2 linked regions of the Callithrix jacchus genome follow. The protein of the gene in region 1 binds, or shares a complex with, the protein of each later gene. Links are inferred from orthologs where the notes say so. Each region holds a gene or a part of one and is shown on either strand. Other genes may lie near its edges. The genes, in order: GLE1 and NUP42.

Region 1 (3,443 bases):
CATGGTGGTGCATGCCTGTAATCCCAGCTACTCAGGAGGCTGAGGCAGGAGAATCTCTTGAACCTGGGAGATGGAGGTTGCAGTGAGTCAAGATCGCGCCATTGCACTCCAGCCAGTCTGCATGACAGAGTAAGACTCTGTCTCAAAAACACAAAACAACAACAACAACAACCAAAAAGAACGCTGGCAACATGCAAAAAATATATTAATGAGAGGAGATACATTAAATATATTTTATTCATCTTGGCATAGCTTTCTTACAGGCAGTATGCAGAATGATACATATAAAGAGGTAATGGCAACCCTTACTCCAAAGGTTAAGAGAGAATTAGGAACAAAAAGAAGTGTTTGGAAAAACTAAGGAAGAGTGCAATCAGAAAATCTGAAGGTCCAAGACTTGTCAGACACAGGTGCATTCCAGCCCAACAACAGTGTGGGACATGTTGGTCTAAAAGCATCTTACCTCTAAGAACTGCTTGAGGCGTATGAAGGAACCCATCTGTCCTGAGCTTGTGATAGCTTCAATTCTACAGGGAGAGAAAGAAGACACACGGATCACAGCTATGGTATACACCTGTCTTTTGGAGACAGTGTCTCACTGTGTCACATAGGCTAGAGTGCAGTGGTGTGATCATAGCTCATTGAGGCCTTGAACTCCCAGTCTCAAGCGATCCTCCTGTCTCAGCTTCCCTAGTAGCTGGGACTATAGGTACATGCCATCATGCCTGGCTAATTTTTTTTTTGTAGAGATGGGGTCTTGCTATATTGCCTAGGCTGGCTTTGGACACTTGGGCTCAAGTGATCCTCCTGCTGTGGCCCCTCAAAGAGCTGTAATTATAGGCATAAGCCACTATGCCCAGCCCTTAATTTGTGTTTTTGTTTAGACAATGATATTTAAAACAGACTCTCATTCAGGTTCAGAAGCATTTATTCAAATATCAACGAGAAGGACTGGTAGGAAGATGTCATTCTTAGTACAGGTGTTTTCAACTTCAATCAAAACCAGCAGGTAATAGCACCCTTTGGTATCTGAGGCTGGTTATGAGTTTTACTTACTTAATCCCCTGTTGTCTGACTAACAAGCCTGATACCTGGGAAAGTAGTCCTCTTTGAGGAGAATTAGCATCTTCCAGAACTGAACCTGGTACTGCTTCATGAGGGCATTCCCACACACCTAGAGGGAAAGACAAGCACTGTCAGAGCAGAGAATGAAAAATTCACACTCACAGGACAGATTCATAAAGCACAATCAGCCCTTCATCTTTCACACCTATCAAAACTTTCAGCCACAATGCCACTAAACTTGCTATTAAGGGAATAAATGGAAATACCCAACTTTCTTCTAAAGCATTTCTCTTTATGCAGCAATACCTTCATTTAGCCAGACAGTCAGGTCTTAATGAACTAATCTTCTTTTTCTCTACTGAATGGAAGCCTTCCTAAAGGGATGGTATACCTCTCAAACTTAGTAAGCACAGTATACAGAATACCACTTGTGTTCTCAAATGATACAGGATCATTGTTCATGTATGGTGACTCCAGGAGCTTTTTATTATTATTTTTTAATAGGGTCTTATTCTGTCGCCCAGGCTGGAGTATACTGGTGTGATCACAGTTCACTGCAGCCTCAACCTCCCCAGGCTCAGGTGATCCTCCAACCTCAGCCTCCCTAGTAGCTGGGACCACAGGCACACATCACCATACCCAGCTAATTTTTGTATTTTTTTGTAGACATAGGGTTTTTACCATGTTGCCCAGGCTGGTCTTGAACTCCAGGGCTCAAGTGATCTGCCTGCCTTGGCCTCCCAAAGACTGGGATTACAGGTGTCAGCCACTGCACCTGGTGACTTCAGGAGCTATTAAGGTAACTAATAGCTTAATAAGGAACTACAGCATTATAGGTCAAATGGTTCCAGATTTGTTATGGCAGGTACCCCAACCTTTCTTCTATAAAAACTATCTTCTTGGATGAGTACAATAGCTCACTCCTGTAATCTCAACACTTCGGCAGGCTAAGGTGGGAGGATCACTTGAGCCCAAGAGTTTGAGGCTATAGTGACCTATGAACATTGCACTCCAGCCTGGGTGACAGAATAATATCCTGTTTCAAAAAAAAAAAAAACCTCACAAAGTGTCACCTTTCCATAGAAACTCTTGCCCTCACCCTATAATAGTGGTCCCTTATAGGCGGATAGAAGTGTTTATAGAGCCGTCTGGAGGTGGTGGCTCACACCTGTAATCCCAGCACTTTGGGAAGCTGAGGCAGGCGGATCACAAGGTCAAGAGATTGAGACCATTCTGGCCAACATGGTGAATCCCTGTCTCTACTAAAAATACAAAAATTAGTCAGGTGTGGTGGCACTCGCCTGTGGTCCCAGCTACTTGAGAGGCTGAGGCAGAAGAATCACTTCAACCCAGGAGGCTGAGGTTGCAGTGAGCTGAGATTGCGCCACTGCTCTCCAGCCTGGTGACAGAACAAGACTCTGTCTCAAAAAAAAAAAAAAGAGAACTGTTTATAGAGCCTTCTACGTTGGTCAGATACCCGACCCCCAGGCTGGCTAATCATATTTTCTCTCCTAGGAATTAGGAATCGGAACAGTGAAATGCCAGTCCCACCACACTGAGTGACCACACTGAGGCTGAGTGACATAGCCTAGAATAGCCACTTTCTTCACTGTACACAGAGAAACAGGGCAAATTGGCCTACAGACCAGGAATGAGGCAACCTGCAGGAAGGTTAAGAGCATATGGCTCCAAGGAGAAACTGTCTTGGTGCCTGGTGACATTTCAGTTCTTGGTTCTAGGCCCTACTGAGATGCACCTGCACATCCTATTCTTGTTTCTGGGAGTCTTTTTTTTTTTTTTTTTTTTTTGAGATGGAGTCTTGCTCTGTCTCCCAGCCAGACTGGAGTGCAATAGCACGATCACAGCTCACTGCAATCTCCATCTCCCAAGTTCAAACTGTTCTCCTGTCTTAGCCTCTGGAGTAGCGGGGATTACAGGCATATTCCACAACACGTGGCTAATTTCTTTTGTATTTTTAGTAGAGAGACAGGGTTTCACCATGCTGGCCAGGCTGGGCTCGAACTCCTGACCTCATGTAATCTGCTCACCTTGGCCTCCCAAAGTGCTGGGATTACAGGTGTGAGTCACCGTGCCCAGCCTGGGAGTCACTTCTTTTTTTTTGAGACCGAGTCTTGGTCTAACACCAGGCTGGAGAGTGCAGTGGCATGATCTTGGCTCACTGCGACCTCCGCTTCCTGGGTTCAAACAATTCTCCTGCCTCAGCCTCCCGAGTAGCTGGGACTACAGGCGCATGCCACCACACCCAGCTAATTTTTGTATCTTTAGTAGAGACGGGGTTTCACCATGTTGGCCAGGATGGGCTCAATCTCTTATCCTTGTGATCCGCCCGCCTCGGCCTCCCAAAGTGCTGGGATTAC
Region 2 (4,370 bases), on another chromosome or scaffold:
TAGAAAATATACAATAAATATTTGGGTGATGAGGTATTAGGTCTGCAACATAGTCTCAAATGGTTCAGAAAAAAAAAGTTACTTGTACTACAAAGGAAATCTTCTCTGACCACAGGACAGAGGACAAAAAAGATTTTTAAAAGTTCTTTGTACTGTTATTTGTAACTTTTCCATATATTTGTTTCAAAATAAATGAATTACATTGATTAAAGAAAATAAAAAACTAGTTTGGACAAGTAGTTCCCAGTCCTGTAGATTCTAGTGTCTTCAAAATCCAAACAAATTACATGAGCAAGAATGATGGCTCACTTCCACTCCAATACTCCTAAAACCACCAGCACAAATCTGTAATCCAACAAAGTCAGATTTACTGACTTATTGCAGGCACTGAGACTGCACACCAGAGGAGCTGTGGGGTGTCTCACTGTACAAAATAAAAGGTAGTTATTGTAGGGTTTTTTTTGCGGGGGGGAGTGGGGAGAGAGAAGTTTAGGTGAAATTTAAACAAAATCTCAAAGCATAGCTGTGTGTAAAGGCATTAACATCAGGTCCGGACCGAGAATTGAATGTAGGGCATGTTTTCTTGGAAACTGCAAGATTAAGAAAATATAGAATGTGGCCGGGCGCGGTGGCTCACGCCTGTAATCCCAGCACTTTGGGAGGGCAAGGCAGGTGGATCACGAGGTCAAGAGATGGAGACCATCTTGGTCAACAAGGTGAAACCCCGTCTCTATTAAAAATACAAAAATTAGCTGGGCATGGTGGTGCGCGCCTGTATTCCCAGCTACTGGGAGGCTGAGGCAGGAGAATTGCTTGAACCCAGAAGGCGGGCGTTGTGGTGAGCCGAGATCGTGCTATTGCACTCCAGTCTGGGTAACAACAGCGAAACTCCGTCTCAAAAAAAAGAAAATATAGAATGTTTTCAGAAACCGTTTATCTGAAGCTCTACACCTGCCTAGAAACTGAGGCTGCTTCTCTGCGTCAAAGAGACTTAGAGCCTCCAGGTAAGTATGGGACGTTTCACTTGTTCTGATATAATTTCAAATAGCAATGTTTATGTGGACTTTCAAGAACACGGTTTCTCAGTGAGTAGTAAGAATATAGTACTCACTCGAAGAAGTAATAGTTTTCCCTTGCAGTATATTCTAAAAGAAACATTGTTTCCTGTTAACGTCACGTCTAGCTTTATTTGACTCTGTTATCCATCCAGATGAAAGGCCGGGCAGACTTACTAGAACGACTCGGTCTATCAAATCACAACTAATTCTCTCAGGGACTTGCTGAATTCCGCATTTGCCTGCTCCGCCTTCCTCTCATTTTGAACCTCAAACCTTCCTGTAGTCCGAGGCCCTGCACTGGGGTCAAACGCGCCTCCCGTTCTTCGCCCTAACCATTCAAGTATCCCGCCTTCCCAGGACACCCTCAAAGCGACAGAGCGGTCGCTCTTCTCAAGTTCAATTGGCTCAGATCCTATTGGCTCAAGTTCACACCTCTCATGGCACCGGGCGAGACAGGAAGAAAAAAAGCCTTCCCCAGGCGCGAGAAGATGACGTCACAGTAGCTCGGCCGGGCGCCGCGGACGCCTGGGGTTTTCTGCCTACTGACTGGCGTTGACCGGTGCCGACCGAAGACTCCTCCGTCAGCGACGCCATCGAAATGGCCATTTGTCAATTCTTCCTTCAAGGCCGGTGCCGCTTTGGAGATCGGTGCTGGAACGAACATCCAGGTGCCAGGGGTGCAGGAGGAGGACGGCAACCACCGCAGCAGCAGCTTTCAGGTGACTCTCCTCCGACTCCTCCGCGGTAGCCAAGCCAGGATGGGCCCGCTGGCGGGGACCAGGCGACCCGCGTGTGTCCCGGTGCTGGTGACCCCAACGTGCCCGCGTCGCAGCCTTGCCGGCCCCATTCAGCGGGCCCTGCACGATGTTTGTAAACCGAGGGTTTTATCTGCTTATTATTATTATTATTTGAAACGCAGTTTCGCTGTTGTTACCCAGACTGGAGTGCAATGGCACGATCTCGGCTCACCGCAACCTCCGACTCCTGGGTTCAAGCAATTCTCCTGCCTCAGCCTCCCGAGTAGCTGGGACTACAGGCGCGCACCACCTTGCCCAGCTAATTTTTGTATTTTTAGTAGAGACGGGGTTTCACCTTGTTGACCAGGATGGTCTCGATCTCTTGACCTCGTGATCCACCCGCCTCAGCCTCCCAAAGTGCTGGGATTATAGGCGTGAGCCACCGCGCCCGGCTATGTGATCGGTTTTTATTGAGCTTCTGAGAACTGGGGTTTGGGCCTGGATGCTTGTGTACGAAACAGTGAGTTTTTAAATCGGAAGCACCTATCGAAATTACTTTGTAGGTGAATGACCGTCATTGAATATAATTTTTACTAAGTTGTTTTTTCGATGGTGAGGCTAGCAGCTTGGGTCAGAATCAGGACTTCTCATTTTAGAGAAGTTGTGGCCTTCTTTGAAGATTTGATAAAACCTATAGAGGCATACCGCAGAAAAATTCACCTGCTCATAAATTTGGGGTGAAATTGGGAAGGTGGGACGCCCAGTTAAGAATTCTCCTGGTTGCCGGGCGCGGTGGCTCAAGCCTGTAATCCCTGCACTTTGGGAGGCCTAGGCGGGTGGATCACGAGGTAAAGAGATCGAGACCATCTTGGTCAACATGGTGAAACCCCGTCTCTACTAAAAATACAAAAAATTAGCTGGGCATGGTGGCGCGTGCCTGTAATCCCAGCTACTCAGGAGGCTGAGGCAGGAGAATTGCCTGAACCCAGGAGGCGGAGGTTGCGGTGAGCCAAGATTGTGCCATTGCACTCCAGCCTGGGTAACAAGAGCGAAACTCGGTCTCAAAAAAAAAAAAAAAAAAGAACTCTCCGGGTTACGTAGAAAGGGGAGATGGGGGCCACGTCGAATCTACTCCCTGGGCCTAGATCATTGTCAGAACTTTTTGTCTTAAAGGAGAGTTCAGACATGAAACCTTAGAACAACACAAGATTTTAAAGACCGAGTTAATAATTTGGTGCTGTCTCCCTTCCTTCCCCTCCTTTAGGGCTATTCATCTGACCTTTATTTTTTTTATTTTGAGACGGAGTTTCGCTCTGGCTCCTAGGCTGGAGTGCAGTGGTGGGATTTCAACTCACTGCAAACTTTGCCTCCCTAGCTCAAGCGATTTTCCTGCCTCAGTCTCCCAAGTAGCTGAGATTACAGGTGCCCACCAACATGCCCTTTAGAATAAGATACTATTAACTCCTACTTGAGGGATCTAGTGTAGCAATCTCTTTTCTTTGTCGATTTATTAAGGTAGTTAGAGTTGCAGGATGAACTTTCACATGTGGGCATATATGTCATTCCAACTTTTAATATATTTCATGCTGTATCACCTAATTCAGTTAGAAACAAGATGAGTTACCTTACTCTTGACACTAACTAGGAAGTGATAAGTAAATGAGATTACTAAAGTGGTTAAGTGTGTGTGTGTGTGTGTGTGTGTGTAAAGGAGAAAATCTTTTTAGCTCATTTTTATATTTATGAAATATTGGAAAGCTACTCATAGAGGAACTACATCCATTTTGTTCACATGTGAATACCTGGTATAATCTCCCTATGAAAATAGCTGTGTAGGTGGTTGCCCAAAGAAAAGACTGAATCAAATAAACTTAGGCATCTATCCAAAAACGGGGTAGAAGCTAATCTTTCATGTTCAAAAAACTTTCATTCAGTGTCTATTTTTCAGCCTTTACTACAATACAAGGCCTGGTAGGGGAGCAAAGAATGATGAAAACACAAGTTCTTATCCTGAAGGAGTTTATGATTTATGATGCATGCCCTCTATCAACTTCACTATCTGCAGTTGTTTAATAAGTTTATGTTAGCTGAATATAGTAATATCATTATTTTTCTATATTTCGCTATATTATTTTCTTCTCAATCTCAAACAAAAATGCAGTTGACCACTATGTGATTTGTTGATATTACAACCTAACTATGTAAATCAAAAATGAAGAGATTGTCATTTAAAATGAGTGGAAATGTAATGCTTGTTAAATCTTTCTATAATGTCTAGTCATACTAAGACACAATTAGGATTTTTTTTTTTTTTTTTTTTGAGACCAAGTTTCACTGTTGTTACCCAGACTGGAGTGCAATGGCACGATCTCGGCTCACCGCAGCCTCCTCCTTCTGGGTTCAAGCAATTCTCCTGCCTCAGCCTCCCGAGTATCTGGGACTACAGGTACACACCACCATGCCCAGCTAATTTTTGTATTTTTAGTAGAGACAGGTTTTCACCTTGTTGACCCAGATGGTCTCGATCTCTTGACCTCGTGATCCACCGCACCCAGCCCACAATTAGGATTTTTGA

What was found.
Region 2: the proteins of GLE1 (region 1) and NUP42 are in contact, whole or in part, in a crystal structure (PDB 6B4I), measured with the Homo sapiens proteins. The link is inferred for Callithrix jacchus from reciprocal best matches to the Homo sapiens genes GLE1 and NUP42. Residues at the interface, in NP_001003722.1 of Homo sapiens: Ile385, Ile593, Leu598, Asn599, Trp602, Arg603, Ala606, Gln607, Leu609, Asn610, Gln636, Tyr637, Gln638, Val639, Gln640, Lys643, Met644, Ile646, Leu647, Glu650, Asp651, Tyr652; in NP_001357375.1 of Homo sapiens: Asp185, Asn186, Val187, Leu188, Phe189, Gln202, Phe203, Gln204, Ser205, Lys206, Lys207, Phe208, Leu210, Gly211, Lys212, Ile213, Pro214, Leu215, Lys216, Pro217, Pro218, Leu222, Leu223, Asn224, Val225.

Annotation. Positions count from the first base shown.
Region 1 is NC_133502.1:177,137,068-177,140,510, reverse strand, and holds part of GLE1 (mRNA export factor GLE1), read right to left. Parts: intron 1,175-3,443; coding exon 1,092-1,174; intron 528-1,091; coding exon 464-527; intron 1-463. UniProt on the Homo sapiens protein: Required for the export of mRNAs containing poly(A) tails from the nucleus into the cytoplasm. May be involved in the terminal step of the mRNA transport through the nuclear pore complex (NPC).
Region 2 is NC_133512.1:34,948,788-34,953,157, reverse strand, and holds the start of NUP42 (nucleoporin NUP42), read left to right. Parts: upstream 1-1,554; 5' UTR 1,555-1,656; coding exon 1,657-1,777; intron 1,778-4,370.